Arabidopsis thaliana: one gene and its partner. The protein of the gene in region 2 purifies or fractionates together with the protein of the main gene of each other region. This does not show direct contact. Each region holds a gene or a part of one and is shown on either strand. Other genes may lie near its edges.

Region 1 (8,736 bases), about 13 Mb from region 2:
AACCAGTAAAGATATTATATAAAATTTAAAAGCATGAAACCAGTGACTTTTAGTATCGTTTGTTTCTTTCACTATGCATACCTCCTTTATTTCCTTGATTTGCTGGTCAAGACCACCAATCATGTCATATGTGGAGTCTGGAACCTTCTCAACTTTCATAAGGTTAACCAAGGGATCTACTTTACTTGGCAGAACCAGGTGGAGAACATAGCTATCATTACGGAGAGCAACTCTCGTTGATGGAGTGAGTTTCGTTATGTCTATACTTTTGTCAATATCGACAACATACTTCCCCTCTGGATGAACCTGAAACATGGGAAAGTATTATTCTATCAATGTTCATATGATTGCAAACAATTCAAAAACCAATCTAGATAATACGATAAAAACATTCATACCTTAACCAAGACCTTGTTTTTTCCCATCACTTTTACCACTTCACCCACATAGGACCCAGGTTCTTGAAGGAGCTGTAACTCTTCTCTGAGCATTCGTACTGTTCAGTTTACAATGACAACAAGGTTTAAAATGTTCAGCAGTATACATCGATTGTATCAATCACTACATACTTTGCTAAACAATCAAATATTGACAGAAGCTGATTCATACTCAACACAAACAGAATCAAGAAGAAATCTCAATAGGGTAACTTAGTGATGCTAAAAATCAAGGCGCAGCATAGTTTAGATCCAGTTCTGGAAAAGATCAGAAACCCTCAATCCAAACAATCACCGCAACAATTTATAAATTTAAAGCACCCAGACGAAATCTAAAGTCCTAATATGGAATTCGAGATTACTAAACTTAAGAAGATGATCAAAAGATCCAACTTTGCAAAGAAATTCAATGAAAATTAGAGTTAGAGAAGGAAAAAGAGACCTCGAGAATTGAGTTCATTCCTCTGAGCTTCAAGACGATTAAGGTTATACGACTTTTCGCGTTGCAGGCGCTGGAGCTCATCGAGATGCTGGAGGTAGTACTTGTTAAGCCCTTCTCCTTGTTTCGCCGCCGCTCCCTTAACGTTGCAGGTTTCCTCCATCGCTGTCACAGGAGGTCTCGCCTCCACTCCTACGGCCGCCATTAACACGGTGATTGAAGCAAATTATCGAAACAGATCTCTCTCAAGTATGCTTTTGAGATTCAAAGATAGATCACAGGGACTAAGATCATGAGCAAAGAACCTTTATATAGAAAAGAACCTTGGATTATCCAACAAGACATCTTTTTTTTTTTTGTAAGTTCAATTTACTATTTTTTATTTTGTGAGAATAAAATGGAAAACGAACGACCCAAAATAAACCGAGTCTATAAACCGCTTGGTTTTGTTATTTTTAATGTCTGCAATACCAAAACCACAACTAAAGCCTATTATTAAAACTTTTTTGGGTAACCCAACTAAAACCACACCGAATAAACCATATTATTGCATAAACATTTGTATTTTAAAAAAAAGTTTTTAGTAATAAAACCACTCGACTAAAGATGATTGTAAAAATACCCTTTAATTTAAATTCTGTTAATACAATTCTCTCTTCATTTTTAGTAATAAAAATTAGACGGGTTAGGGTCAAATTAAAATGAATCGACTTCGACAACACACAAACCTTATAAAAATCTCATTTTTCACTTTCTAAATTTTAGAGCTTAAATAAATTAGAAAATTTAGATTCGGTATAAATAAGAACATTTTGTTGTTTTTATTTACAATTTTTATTGTTTAAGTGTATATTTATTATTTTTCAATTTGTGAAAAATATTACATTTTATTTTAATTGTAATCCGTCCAATTTTCACGACAATATAGATGGATGAGGATTTACATTAACAAATTTTAAGTTTAGAGTTTTTTCACTAAATAAATAATTGATAGGTTTTCTCACGATTCATCTTTAGTTGAAGGATTTTATTACTAAAATAGTCATATTAATTAAATTATAATAATATTAACTTTATAGCTTTTTTCTCTCTAATCAAATATGATAACTGATTTGGACATAAAAACTTTGAACATGTGTTCGTTTTAAAGACACATTTAGATATAAAAAAAAAATATTTAGGTCATAAAAACTTAATCTAAAAATGTTTGATGAATCAACCGAAAAAGGGTTTCAAAACCAGCAATCGACAGCAAAGTAAAGAAACTCTAATTTGTCATATCCGAAATGAAAATGTGGTTTTCCATTGACTTGAATTACATAACAAAGAGATTCCTACTTCCAGAACTTACTCAGAGGCTTGTTCTTCTTTGTGTGTGTTTTTCGTTACTTTCGCCACCGCCATCTCAGTATTCTTATGTCACGTGTACTCTCCTCTCACGCATATCAAATATTTTCGTTTCTGTGCACAAAGTTTAAACGTAATAACTGGAAACATAAGAAAGGTGCAAAATGTCCAGAGAACAAGATATAAGCTATTGTATTTTTCTTTTCCATTGCTTATTGTGTATTATATAATTCATTAATATCATATGTTTTGTATAATTTTGTAACTATGTTATCATTTGTATTAAAGATCTTTTTTTTGCTAAACTTGTATTAAAGATCTTGTATTAAAGATCTTGCTCTTTTTAAGTTTAATTTCATATGATTTTTTATTTGGGAGAAAAATAAAAAATGGAATGACGGAACCAACCCAAAATTAACAAAATTTATAAACCGCTTGGTTTTGTTATTTTATAAGTCTGCAATACAAAAAGTCCAAAACCACAACTTAAGCATACACCAAAACTTTGGTAACCGAGCTAAACCATACCGAATAAACCAAATTCGTGCGTAAAATTTGTAATTGAAATAAATTATCATAACATTTACATTATAGGCTTTTTCTCTCTAATGGAATATGACAGTTTCGGACAGAAGAACTCTTAACATGTGAAGGTTCTGCTTGTTTTGGTCTTATAAGCTCAGGTTCTTGAGTTTTGGGAATTTCCTTCCATTGACCTCAAATCGCATACTAGATAAACTCGTGTCTAGATAGTAAAAACTTTGTTCTAAAATGTTTTCATGAGACAACCGAAAAAAGGTTTCAGAATCAAACAACAAACAGTAAAGTAAAGAAAGTCTTTCCATGAGAGATTCCTACTTCCACAGCTTACGCAGAGACATGTTCTTCTCCGTGTCTTTCTTCATTACCTTGGCCACCGCCATCTCAAAGTCTTCTTGTGTCACGTGTACTCTCCTCTCACGCAGAGCAAACATTCCCGCCTCCGTGCACACAGCCTGACCGTATTAACCAAAAACATAAGAGAGAGGCAAAATGTAGAGAGAACAAGATAGAAGTAGAGAAATAGAAAACACTTTACCTTCAGCTCAGCACCTGAAGCGCCATTCATCTTCTCTGCAATCTTTTTCAGATCGATTCCACGCATCAAATTCATTTTCCTCGAGTGAATCTTCAAGATGTCAAAACGTGACTGCAACACATTTTGGAAACATACATTAGCCAAACCGTCCTGCCTCACTTGAGTAAAATGAGTATGGAGATAAAGAAAAGTTTTTTATGCTGCAAATGATAGTCTAAATACTAAATAAGGTGCCTACTTTGACGAATAATGTATTCATATCACCAAAAACAACAGTCAATATCATTTTCTCAGAGCACAAGTATTACCTCTTCATTAGGATTAGGAAATTCAATTTTCCTATCAATTCTTCCAGGCCTGAGAAGAGCTTGATCCAGAATATCAATACGATTTGTAGCCATCAAAACCTGCAACAGTCATTAAAGAGAATATGACTCTGTCAGCAATTTCAGACTACAATAACACAGACTCATCCTATTCAACTTATGGTTTTTTTTCCTTTACAACTTAATAGGTACCTTGATTTTGTTTGACGCTTCAAAACCGTCAAGTTGATTGAGAAGCTCGAGCATGGTCCGTTGCACCTCACTGTCACCATTTCCACTTCCAGATTCCATACGAGCAGACCCAATACTATCGATTTCATCCATGAAGATGATTGATGGTGCATGCTCCCTGAAAACCATAAACCGGTGTAAGCCAACTGGAAAGAGTATTTTCAACGAATCATCTCACCTATTTGTAATTTGCTCCTTACATGAGACTTGGCACTGTGGCCTAAATGCTAAGCACTATGACAAAGAATACTTTATAGAACGATATTCATTCACAACGGAACCATATTCATTGTAGCAACAAAGAACACTTTCCCCATTTAACTTAACAGCTCATGTCCATTTTATAGCAACTAATGGCGGACATGTTAAAAGATGTTATCTTATCAACAGTTCCATATTTTCCTATCAACCACTATTACCATGCTTGAAATTTAAAATAGGGACTACCATATACTAACCTTGCCATCACAAAAAGTTCTCTGACCATTCTAGAACCTTCTCCAATGTATTTCTGGACAAGCTCGGAACCAGAAACTCTTATGAAAGTACAGTCAGTGTGATGTGCAACAGCCCGAGCCAATAGTGTCTTCCCAGTTCCAGGTGGACCGTATAACAACACACCCTAGAAAGACAGAGAGATGAGATTACGTCTAATCCACTTAGCATCATCACAATATGGAGAAGAAGGTTTAAGATTCAAGTGTACCTTTGGCTGCGCAATTCCAAGAGACTCAAACAATTCAGGATGCTTGATTGGCAGCTCAATGACCTGATAAACCAGAAAAGATATAGATATTATATAAACATTAAAAGGATGAAACAACAGAGGAGATAGCCAATACTGTAGTGACTTTTAGTTTCGGTTTCTCATTCACTAAGCATACCTCCTTTATTTCCTTAATCTGCTGGTCAAGACCACCAATCATGTCATAGGTGGAGTCTGGAACCTTCTCAACTTTCATAAGGTTAACCAAGGGATCTACTTTACTTGGCAGAACCAGGTGGAGAACATAGCTATCATTACGAAGAGCAACTCTCGTTGATGGAGTGATTTTCGTAATGTCTATACTTTTGTCAATATCAACAACATACTTCCCCTCTGGATGAACCTGGAAAATGGGAGTGTAAGCCTTACTGACAACTATGTTCGTAGAAATACAAACATGATAATAAAAAAGATTCATACCTTAACCAAGACCTTGTTCTTTCCCATAACTTTTACCACTTCTCCCACATAGGACCCAGGTTCTTGAAGGAGCTGTAACTCTTCTCTGAGCATTCTCACTGTTCAATTAGAAATAATTTTAGTGTTAACGAGGTTTGAGATTTAGAACTAACTACAAATTATAAAGACTAGTAAGAAAACCTTCATGCATAAATAGGATGGTGATCATGATGACAACAGAAGCTGTTCTATAACTTTAAATGTGTAACTAAAATCATGGTATAGTGGAAAGGACTATATGGGCTCCTTCCAAAAGTATATATTCCTCAATGAAGATAGTGAAGAAATAACTAGGCTTTCCTGAAAAAAGCCACATACTTTGCAAAAGAACCAACAAGAAGACAGAATCTAGAAATCTAAACAAGTTAATGTTGCTAAAATCAAGACTAATCACTTCCAGATCGGAAACACTAAATCACCACAACAATTTTGAAATTTGAAATCACTCAGCTCCAATTGGAACGAAATCGAAAGCCCTAGCACAGAATCTGAGATTACGAAACACAAGGAGATGATAAAAAAGATCCAATTTTGCAGAGAATTAGGGTAAGAGAAGGAAGAAGAGACCTCGAGAATTGAGTTCATTCCTTTGAGCTTCAAGGCGATTGAGGTTATTAGTCTTCTGTCGAAGCTGGCGCTGGAGCTCATGGATGTGCTGGAGATAGTACTGCTTAAGCCCTTCCCCTTGTTTCGCCGCCGCTCCTTTCACGTTACAGGTTTCCTCCATCGCTGTCTCAGGACGCCTCGAATCTACTCCTACGGCCGCCATTTTCTCAGTGATTGAAACAAATTATCGAAGACAGAGATCTCTAGTAAGGAGATGAGAAGAAAAAGGAGAGAGATTAGTTTTCGTCGATCAGAATCTCAGAAACCCTCACGCGAAGCATTATATGATATCACCTAAATTAATAAAAAGGAAATTAACTCAACAATAGAAATATTTTTATTTTACTTTTTGCTTGTCTTAACCTTCTAGTTCGTTTAGAGTCCTTCCTCGAGTCTACGTTTTCTCAGGCTTACTCTAGCTGGTGGCTAATAAGCCGTTGGAACCATCTTAGAGATAAAACGTTCTGCTTGTTAGTAATTTAAGTTTCACCTTATCGAGTAAGAAGAGAGTTGTCGAGGGAGATAGTTGAAACTTTGAAACATTCGGATTAATAACTTCTTCTTTTTCGTTTAAATCTTACTTTAATACACATCATAAACATGTTTTATTACTAGATCAAAGATTTGAATAACATTTTAGTGTAGTTGATGCATGATGTCTCAACAACATGTTTCAACATCAACGACTTTGATTGGTGAATAAAAACAAAGTATTACAATTTGTATAGCTTTTTTTTATACAAAACACAAAAAGATTATCAAAAGTGTTACAAAAAGTTTTACTCTCACTTTTATTGTAAGGTTTTCTCGTACCGTTCTTTTTTACAGCTTTATAATATTCCGAAAAAACGTACACCTAAATTTTTTATACGACTTATTGTAAACAATCAGATCCGTTAATCTAAAATTTTGTACAGCTTTGTGTTGTACAGCCAGATGACAACAATTTTAGATTTATTATGTTTATTTAAGCGTTGGTTCAGCACATATCGTTAATCTAAAAGAGAGTGAATCTCAACAATGACTACATGCAATCTCAATTATTTGCTTAATTAGTGCATTGACTAGTTTATGTCCAAAATACACAATAATTTCTCTACAAACAAACAAAAATTCTCTACATACACACAGACAAAATCAATATGTTTAATATTCTTCCATTAATGGTGAGTTGACCAAAATTAACACCACAATTAAACTCAAAGTGACTAAAAAGATTACTAACAAAATTGTCCCGTACGATAAGACACTGACGAGAGAAGTCGTCGCCTTCCTCTAATTAGTCTCTGAATAATCCGATCCAGATCCCAAATCCTCTCTTCTTCATCTTCACCGATCTGGATCTCCCAAAAACCTCCACCAAAAACCAAAACAATGTCGTCCTCTCGATTCGATTCAAACAAACAATTAACAACAAGCAGTCTCGTAATCGGCTACGCACTCTGCTCAAGCCTCCTCGCCGTAATCAACAAATTAGCAATCACATACTTCAACTACCCAGGTCTCCTCACAGCTCTTCAATACCTAACCTGCACCGTCGCCGTCTATCTTCTCGGCAAATCAGGGTTAATCAATCACGATCCATTCACATGGGACACTGCTAAGAAATTTCTCCCTGCAGCTATCGTCTTCTACCTCGCTATCTTCACAAACACAAACCTCCTCCGTCACGCTAATGTCGATACTTTCATCGTCTTCCGATCTCTAACACCGCTCTTAGTCGCGATCGCTGATACTGTGTTTCGTAGTCAGCCTTTACCTTCGAGACTTACGTTTTTGTCTCTCGTCGTTATCCTCGCTGGAGCTGTTGGGTATGTTGCAACTGACTCGTCTTTTACTCTAACGGCTTATTCATGGGCTTTGGCTTATCTTGTTACCATTACTACTGAAATGGTTTACATTAAGCATATGGTCTCTAATATTAAATTGAACATTTGGGGATTGGTTCTCTACAATAATCTACTGTCTCTGATGATAGCACCGGTGTTCTGGTTTCTTACTGGAGAATTCACCGAGGTTTTCGCGGCGTTGAGTGAGAATAGAGGGAATTTGTTTGAGCCTTATGCGTTTTCTTCTGTGGCTGCGTCGTGTGTGTTTGGTTTCCTTATCAGTTACTTTGGATTTGCTGCTAGGAATGCTATCTCTGCTACTGCTTTTACAGTCACTGGTGTTGTTAACAAGTTCTTGACTGTTGTCATCAATGTTTTGATTTGGGATAAGCATGCCACTCCTGTTGGTTTGGTTTGTCTTCTTTTTACTATCTGTGGAGGTGTTGGTTATCAGCAGAGTGTCAAATTGGATAAACCCATTGAGAAGGTCAGCGAGAAAGATAGCGAGAAGGGAGAGGAAGATGAGGAGTTGACGCAGTTGGTTCCGGGGAAACTAGCTTCTGTTGTATGAGAGAAGTGTCATTGTTTTGCAGCCTGCCTTTTCAGGTGTGTAACCTTTTGAATATCTTAGCCTTTTTTACATTTTAACGAGGTTTCTAGTAAAAGTGAATACCTTTTTCTGGTTTCTGGCCTCTATAGTATTAAATTTTGTAAAACCCTGTTTCACATTATCCTCATATCCATTTATACAAAATCAATTTCTGTTCTCTGTGTTACAAGATTTTAGTGATGCACAAAAGATTTTGTTGTGTTGTATAATGCAAATGTGAAAGAACAGTAGCAGGAATGGATTGTTCTGTGTGCCTATTAGTAGTTGTAGTCTTACAATTTTGTCAGTTTACTAAATCCATTCAGTTGAAACATAACTGTCGAGACAGTTGAGCCAGGTATGTATTGATTTTTTGTTTGATTTAGAGCATTTGAATGTGTCACGGCATTCTATAGTTGTAACCCTTTCATCGACTTTTAAGCTATGAAATCACCACAAAACCTAATCATACATACCTAGCTCAAAGCAGATACGCTTTGAAAAATTATGACACTCTTAAATTGGCCAACCTTTTTGCTATCTTATAAGTTCAAAGAGCATCCTCTCCTCTCAAGCTAGCTTTTAAAGATGTCTTTTATACCCACTAGAGTTGCTTGTGTTGAGAACGA
Region 2 (8,128 bases):
AAACGTGCTCATGATGTAGATTGTTTTTCGCTATGTTTTTCACTCGACACACCAAATCTTCTCTACATCTACTACTCTAGTTATGGTCGGGGTAGGTATCGACATTGTAATTTAGAGTCACTTGTCAAAGCTACACTTGATCATGATTTCTTAGTAGAACATGACAATTGTTGTTGTGCTAATGTTTTAAATTGGTTTTAGATGATTAAAGATGAATTACTCATCTGACATATAGTTTTTAGTTTCTGGTTTTGTTTCTATTGCTAAGTTCCGTGGAAACAAATACTCTAGATTTTACAAATACCCTCCTTGTTGCCGTGTGTCACTTTCGGACTATGTACTCGAAACACTAAGCATCAGGTTGGATATTTCCAAGTTGACTGATCCATTGTGAAGGAGTTACTAATCTCTAAGCCGTTCCTTTAGAAAATTCTTCCCAACCCTTTTCCACTCGAATTCTCATGTGTTTTTCGTAGAAAAAATTATATCCACTTTGTACCATCTGTTCCCAACAAAATTACCGTCAAATCTTTTTCAGGGTCTTCACCATTGCCATTCATGAGAGAAACTGACATGAATTAATCTAGGATGATAACTTTTTTTGGAAAAGATGGTACATAGATGACACATCTTCTACGAAAATGCACTGGAAAGAATGAGTTTGGGAGCACATAGTTTAAAGATTGGTTAATTTTCACGTTGGAGTCAATTTGGAAAAATGTAATTCCTAAGCTCAGTTTTTCTAGTACAATATCCAAAAGTGATACAAAGGCAGCACGAAGAGTATCAAAAGCTAGAGAGAAAGATTATATTTTCACTAAACCTACCAGTTTTCGAAATAAAACCAAGAAACAAAATTAACATCAATGATATGATACGCTTTCTAATAATGGTCTCCTAATGTGTTGTAAGTGGGATATATTGAAAGAATTAAAGTTCATATAAGATACATATGCTCTTGGACATATATATGATGCAGTTTAGACATAGTTTATAATTGAAAGTGAAATACAAGAAATCCTCATTAGATAGTTTATGAAATATATTGAACTTTGTAAAAATAGTAAACAAAAATAAATCTAAATTTTTATTTATTTTGTATTTGAAATAAAACCCAAAAAGAAGATCTTTTCATGAAAGAGAAAAAAAGAAGTAAAATTGGTTGTAAATTTATTTCTGAATAGAAAAAAAAAAGAAATTGTGCCACGCAAAACCTTAATGCTTGAGCTTAATAAAATGAACCTTAATGCTTGAGCTTAATAAAATGAACCTTAATGCTTGAGCTTAATAATTGGGGATTATGTGGTTAATAGTATGGACCAGGAATCTTAGTCAGCAAACACTATATGGATTTTCTAATTATCTTAAATGGAAGTAGTAATTTATTTGTTTTTGTTTTTTAACATAGGAAATTTTGAAATATTTAGGTCCAAATTCGTGGTTTCCAAATATCTACACTTCAGATATCCAAATTTGTGGTTTAATATATATGTATATCCAAACTAAATTTAATTACAAAAAAAAAGTGGAATTTTAATATTTAGTTTGCCATTAAAAGATTTTAGATACAGTATATGGATTTTTGAGAGGCATGGCACTATTATTCGGAATCATAGATCCAATCCGGAATTCTTTCCGATCCGATCCAGAAAACCGGATATCCAAGATAGGTGAATCCAGATCCAGAGAATGAATTTACGGATACGTATAATCCGAATTATAATTTGATTTTAATTTATAATGGTGGGATACATACCTTCATCTTTGTTGCCTCGTTCCAGCTTGCATTTCTCCGTAGTAACATGTTGCAGATGATTCCTTCCTAAAGGTTTTGATTGGTATTTTATATTTCGCGCGGCCCAATTGTCACATACATTTTGATTATATCCGCATAATAAATGTTGTTAGCAAACAAATGAGGATTAATATTGAAAATTGTCCCTAGATCAAAAATTTATTACTGAAATCATACCTTTCTTTGCATATACCACATAAAATGCCAATGAATCAAAATTCATCACAAGAAGCAATCATCACTAGTAGCTGATGTGTATATGTAGACGTCTCTTTAGGGTTTTTACAACAATCTCCATGGAATTTTCGATCAACATGTTTTATTAAATCATATTGATTTTTTATTATTTTATGTTTTAAGGTAAATAAGAAATTGTTTATTTTCTTCTTTGTAAACTATTGTCGGATCATATATTTATGTGATGTAGAAGCCATGTTATCGTGTACAATGCGTGTTAAAACTTAAAATTGTGAAACTTTTGTATGTAATAATGATTGATTGACTAATTGATTTTAAAAGATAGAAAATATATAAATTATGGGTCCACATGGTAATTTTATAAAGAAAAAATCCCGGATTTTTTCTATTTAATCGAGAAATATAGATAATGATATACAAAAATTGGTGATTTTTTGTGAAATGTCAGTTGACTAGAAATTTGAAACAATTCTTATCAATGTATTTTTAAAAATATCATGTTTAATATGTAAGTTTAATATTCATTAGTGTGCATAATGTAAGAATAATTACTAATTTACATAAATATTTTCTCTTATATGTGAAAGTATTTAACTACTGATTTATTGATATACAATGAAAAAGTATGGGCTATTAACTTTATATGATTTCAATAATTTTTATGATTAATATATTTGATAAAAATGATAAATAATAAATCATTATTTTAAAAGAAACATGTATATCCAACAAAAAAAGCCGTGTGTAATACGCGTTGGTTCAAAGGGTAATTTAACTATGGAAAATAGTCCTAGATTTATTTTTGTTAAATTGAGAAATAAAAATCATTATATACCAAAATTGTAAACTTAGCAATTTTTTGGTGCAATTTCCGTTGACTCGATTTTTTGGAAAAAGTCTGTCAATTTCAAAGAAAAAATATTATGTTTAAATACTTAAGTTGAATATTTATTCGTGTGCATAATAATAATTTATTTTTCGTATAAACATTTTTTATTCTATGTGAATGTATGTAACTAGTTGTTTGTTGTTACATGTTAAAAGTATGTACTATTAAGTTTATATGGTTTCAATAAAAAAAATTCAATACTTTTTATGATGAAATTATTTGATAAAATTTAAATAAATGAAAATTGTTTTTTTAACAACAAACCGATCATATTAATGAGAATTTATTTTAAAATAGAAAAGCCGTATGCAATACACGTTATATTTAATAGAAAATTCGTAGTCAAATGATGAATTTAATTAGCAGTTTAATTTTTAAGAAGTTAAAGATTTAGTCAAATGATGAATTTAAATTTATTCGACAACAAAAATTATCAATAAATCAAAAATGTAAAACTGACGATTATTCTATGAAAAGTGAAAACACAACGGAAAATACAAATAATAATGATGAGTTTGGGGTTTTATTTAAAAATAATAATAATAATAATATTGTTTTTGACAATTAGATAAAAAAGGTAAACTTTTTTTTTCTTCTCCTTTGTTTTATTTTAACCCCACAAAACTCGAAAACCTTTTTCCCATTTTCTCACTTTCCCTCTTCTTCTCCTCCCTCAAAGCTTTTCCCTCTCATTTTTCTCTTTCCGCTTTCAAGCTTCTTTTCCCTCTCTCAAAAAATGGGGAAATACATGAAGAAATCAAAGATAACTGGCGATATCAGCGTCATGGAAGTCTCTAAAGCAACAGCTCCAAGTCCAGGTGTTCGAACCAGAGCCGCTAAAACCCTAGCCTTGAAGCGGCTTAATTCCTCCGCCGCTGATTCAGCTCTACCTAACGACTCTTCTTGCTATCTTCAGCTCCGTAGCCGCCGTCTCGAGAAACCCTCTTCGCTGATTGAACCGAAACAGCCGCCGAGAGTTCACAGATCGGGAATTAAAGAGTCTGGTTCCAGGTCTCGCGTTGACTCGGTTAACTCGGTTCCTGTAGCTCAGAGCTCTAATGAAGATGAATGTTTTGACAATTTCGTGAGTGTCCAAGTTTCTTGTGGTGAAAACAGTCTCGGTTTTGAATCAAGACACAGGTTCGTTGTTTTTTTTTTTTTTTTTTTGTGCCCTAATGTTTTCTTATTACCAATTCGACTTTTGTGTTCTGTCTTATCCAATAATCTTAGTTTTGAGTCTTACATAGTTTTGAATCTTAGTTAGGTTTCTCTGAAACTTTTGTTGTTTGCTTCAAATCAATTTTTTTTTTTTTGGGGGATGAAAATAGTTTAGTACAAGAGAAAAATAGGTTTTTTATGTTTCCCTTATTGGTTTGGTTTTTGTTTATGAATTGACTCTCTTGTGATGTACTGAATTTTGTTATTACTACTTCTCCGTATAAGTCTCTTTTGGTGTTAGATTTACATTATATCTGATTTATTGCTGTATGTCCCATGTGTACTTCATTGCAGAGATTATCAATGAATGTGTCAAAGCTATTTTCGTTTTATATATGTATTTCATTATTTGTTACAAATTTGGTGAAACTCTGATCTGTTTTTGTGTATTTTAATTTGTTTAAGAACATGTTGATTCTCCTTGTTATTAGGCTAATGGCATAAGAAGTATTTGTACATTGGGTATACAATATTGGGATTTGGTTATTGGGGGTTTACTTAAACACATGGTTTTCGTTTTTACAAAAGTGGGTTGTTGTATAAAGGTCAGAAACTTTTAATATGTAAGATTATATGAGAATTGGGACTTTCCTCATAAGTGTAATGCAAGTACTGTGGTGTCATGTTCATGGGACCTAGTGGTTTTTGCATACTTGGGGAATACTTTTGTAGGATCCTCTGTTTTTTGGGGTAACCGTCCTGCTGCTAGTTGACAATGTGGTGATTGCCTTCTCTTTGTTATTTATTATCTTATGGGACCATATTACTTAGAAAGTCTCTAGCTTTTGTTGTTTACTTAAACCAAGCCTCTTTTTTATTCTGGATGTTTGGTTTTGGTTTGATTCTTGATTTGGTTAAGTGTCTTTGTGGTGATAATGTTATTGAAGTTATTTTATCTGTGTTTTTTTCTGCAGCACAAGGGAGAGCACGCCTTGTAACTTTGTTGAGGATATGGAGATCATGGTTACACCAGGGTCTAGCACGAGGTCGATGTGCAGAGCAACCAAAGAGTACACAAGGGAACAAGATAACGTGATCCCGACCACTAGTGAAATGGAGGAGTTCTTTGCATATGCAGAGCAGCAGCAACAGAGGCTATTCATGGAGAAGTAAGCTTATTCTTTATTTTATTTTTGTGTCATTACGAAGAGGGTGAACAACACTCATGTGTTTTCAATAATCTTCAGGTACAACTTCGACATTGTGAATGATATCCCCCTCAGCGGACGTTACGAATGGGTGCAAGTCAAACCATGAAGTTCAAAAGGAAACAGCTCCAAAAGACATGGTGTGAAGTTAGAGAATGTGATGGAGTTAACAGACTAACCAAACATCAGAAATCGTGTAATCTTAAGTAATAATGTGGTTAGAGAACAAGTTTGAGAGTAGCTTAGGGACCTTAAAACCTCACACCATTTGTACTACTAATCTTCTTCAGATGCTTAGTGAAATTTTCTCATCTGTTTCTTTCAAGTGTTTGTTTTTCTATCTATCTCTCATGTTTATTCAAAGCTATATGTAATGATGATGATTGAGAGGGATGTGTGTGAACATGTTTAAGCTTGGCATATAGTGAAAAAAATGATTCAGATGCAGAAGAAAGAGACCCAATTGAGAGGTTCACGTGTGAATTTTGGTAGGTGTAAAAATCTGAATCATATCCTTTTTCTTTCAACTATACAAGATTGGTCCCTTTTCTTCTCTTACCATAATTATGACGCACGTGAATGTGTGTGTAAATACTTTGACGTTTACATTGAAATACTGTAATGTAAGTTCAGAGTTAAAAGTACAAACACAAAGGTGAATTTTGTACTAATTAGTAAAGAGATAAGAGTGTTTTGAATCTTGAATATCAAATTATTATTAACAAGAAACTGACAAAAAGATGAGACAGTGTTCATTGAGAAGATCTCTGTTGTTTTATCTTTTTTTTTACATTTCTTGGAAATTGGCAAAACCAGTGTGATGAAACTGTGAAATCTTATCTCGAACCCAATCATTGTTCTATGTTTTTCTTTAATCTCTAAAAGTGAAAAAGTGAATGCATGAAACGTTCAGATACATTCATTATATTATACATTTATACATATGGACATGGTGTACGTATGTACACGGGTGCTTGTTTGATCACGGGCTCACTGACTATAAAAATCATGTTTTTTGGGACATATAGATTCGCTTACATCAACTGTGTGACCAATGGGGTATCTGAATTCAGCTTGTTCGATGTTTTGTTTGACTCTTTTAAACTATTTGGTAGTAAAAAGCCAAAAAGGAAGAGCACTGATTACGAAAGCCTTTTTGTCTTTTTGTTTCTTCTTCTCTAGCTCTCTTTCGTTCTCCTTTTGGGTTAGTCCTTCAAAATAAATGTCTTTAACTTGTCATGTATAGTTTCTTTCTCTCGTTGAACACCAACCATAGGCCTTGCAATGTGAGTCAAAACATGCATTGAAAAAAGAAGTGAATTTCAACATTAAATGCTCTCGTTTAACATGCCTATGGTTCCATTAAGCAAAGTACACACTCTATATATGTCGAAAGAACTATACAGTCGGTGTTTTAGCCCTATAGTTAGATACATTCGAACTGATTACAGAAATATCAAATATCCAGTTCTAAGATCGGATTAAGGCAAATACATTTAAACTACTTCTAGCGAATGAGGTTCACATAGAAAAACTTTTTAAAATGAATCACTAAACAAGATTCATTTTCTTTCTAAATAGTGTAAAGACGAGTGATGCATGCAACTGCTCTCCTTTCCGTTGGTCCCTTGTCAAAATATACGACCGTGAATAATTCTTCCCATCATATTTATCTGTCGGAGAGTTCCAACCTCAAAACATTCTCCTTCTCTTATCAATTCTTTCTAAAATCATAAACCAACAAACTGGGCCTATGATCAATTATTCATATTCAATTTAGCCTATAACTAAAACCACACTGCTTTCGTTACACTGGCCTTCCGACAAGTCTCTTTGACTGTTTTTATCTTAAGCGCCATCAAGTTTTAAAGAAGACAACCCCATATCTTTCCTCCCATGAATCATCGTGTCCATATTGCTATAGTTCATGAAAAAACTAAATACTATCGACAACTGAAGAAAAGATCCGGATCTTGTGGACCGAGTGAATGGTTGGGCCCAATTAGAATGGTCTACCCTAACATCTAGCCGTCTACACGATTGATCATACGTCTAAGAGGGCGAAACCACCAAACGTTTGGATTTTATCTAAATTGATGTACATAAAGCTAACATGATTTTAGTATAAACATTATAAGCATCATGGAAATCAATAAGCTAACATGATTTTAGTAGAAACATTATCAGCTAACATGAATTACTAAAAACATTTATTTTATTTTAAGGAAAAACATACAATACTAAGATTTTTTATAACATTTTTTCTTTGTAACATTATAAATTGTTTTAGTTTCTACATTAATTAAATATATAAAATAAATTCATTTAAATAATATAAGAAAACGGAATCTTTGATTAACTGCTGATTATTGGCCACTGATTAATTTCCGACCCCATCAATAGATGAGATCAGACATACACAACTTAAGTAGACCAAAAAAGCGGTTGGTGTAAGATCCCAAACTCACAGATTCCCAAATAATAGTAATACTCTTCCTCTTCTCAACTCTCACCAGTCACCAGCAGATCATCGGAGATGGGCGGAGACGGAAAAGTTTTCACCTTGTCCGAGGTTTCTCAGCACAGTAGCGCCAAGGATTGTTGGATCGTCATCGACGGCAAGGTCCTACATCTCCGATCCCAGTTTCTCATTCGATTTTCCGTTTTCCCTTAGATTTTGCATCTTATCTTCGTGAGATCCGAAATTCTTGAGTTGTGTTGACTTGGATTTATAAATCTAGAGTTATGTAGTAACAAGTTTGGGGATAGATCTGATCTGATTTGCTAGATTAATGTTACTTTTCTAAGTCTAAATCACAGAGAAATTGCTAAAAACTTACGTCTTTATAATTGAATGTGATAGTTGGTGCTGCTTAAGAT

The links. Proteins that work in one complex are often made in the same cells at the same time.
Region 1: the proteins of ICK6 (region 2) and RPT6A purify together in Arabidopsis thaliana (affinity purification with mass spectrometry, with the first as the bait; one large-scale study listed by BioGRID). This does not show direct contact.

What each region holds. Positions count from the first base shown.
Region 1 is NC_003076.8:6,749,260-6,757,995, reverse strand, and holds RPT6A (regulatory particle triple-A ATPase 6A), read right to left. Parts: upstream 6,199-8,736; 5' UTR 6,036-6,198; exon of another isoform or gene 5,893-6,035; 5' UTR 5,853-5,892; coding exon 5,651-5,852; exon of another isoform or gene 5,253-5,650; coding exon of another isoform or gene 5,225-5,252; intron 5,143-5,224; coding exon 5,045-5,142; intron 4,968-5,044; coding exon 4,743-4,967; intron 4,628-4,742; coding exon 4,565-4,627; intron 4,481-4,564; coding exon 4,317-4,480; intron 3,977-4,316; coding exon 3,820-3,976; intron 3,709-3,819; coding exon 3,610-3,708; intron 3,413-3,609; coding exon 3,302-3,412; intron 3,219-3,301; coding exon 3,078-3,218; 3' UTR 2,703-3,077; downstream 1-2,702. Other genes in the region: AT5G20000 (AAA-type ATPase family protein), read right to left, coding at 82-306, 399-496, 880-1,081; GONST4 (golgi nucleotide sugar transporter 4), read left to right, coding at 7,064-8,089. UniProt on the Arabidopsis thaliana protein: The 26S proteasome is involved in the ATP-dependent degradation of ubiquitinated proteins. The regulatory (or ATPase) complex confers ATP dependency and substrate specificity to the 26S complex.
Region 2 is NC_003076.8:19,789,837-19,797,964, reverse strand, and holds ICK6 (inhibitor/interactor with cyclin-dependent kinase), read left to right. Parts: upstream 1-3,556; 5' UTR 3,557-3,618; coding exon 3,619-4,049; intron 4,050-4,231; coding exon 4,232-4,258; intron 4,259-5,014; coding exon 5,015-5,209; intron 5,210-5,287; coding exon 5,288-5,357; 3' UTR 5,358-5,695; downstream 5,696-8,128. Other genes in the region: CB5-D (cytochrome B5), read left to right, coding at 7,785-7,871. UniProt on the Arabidopsis thaliana protein: Binds and inhibits CYCD2-1/CDKA-1 complex kinase activity. May target specifically CDKA-1.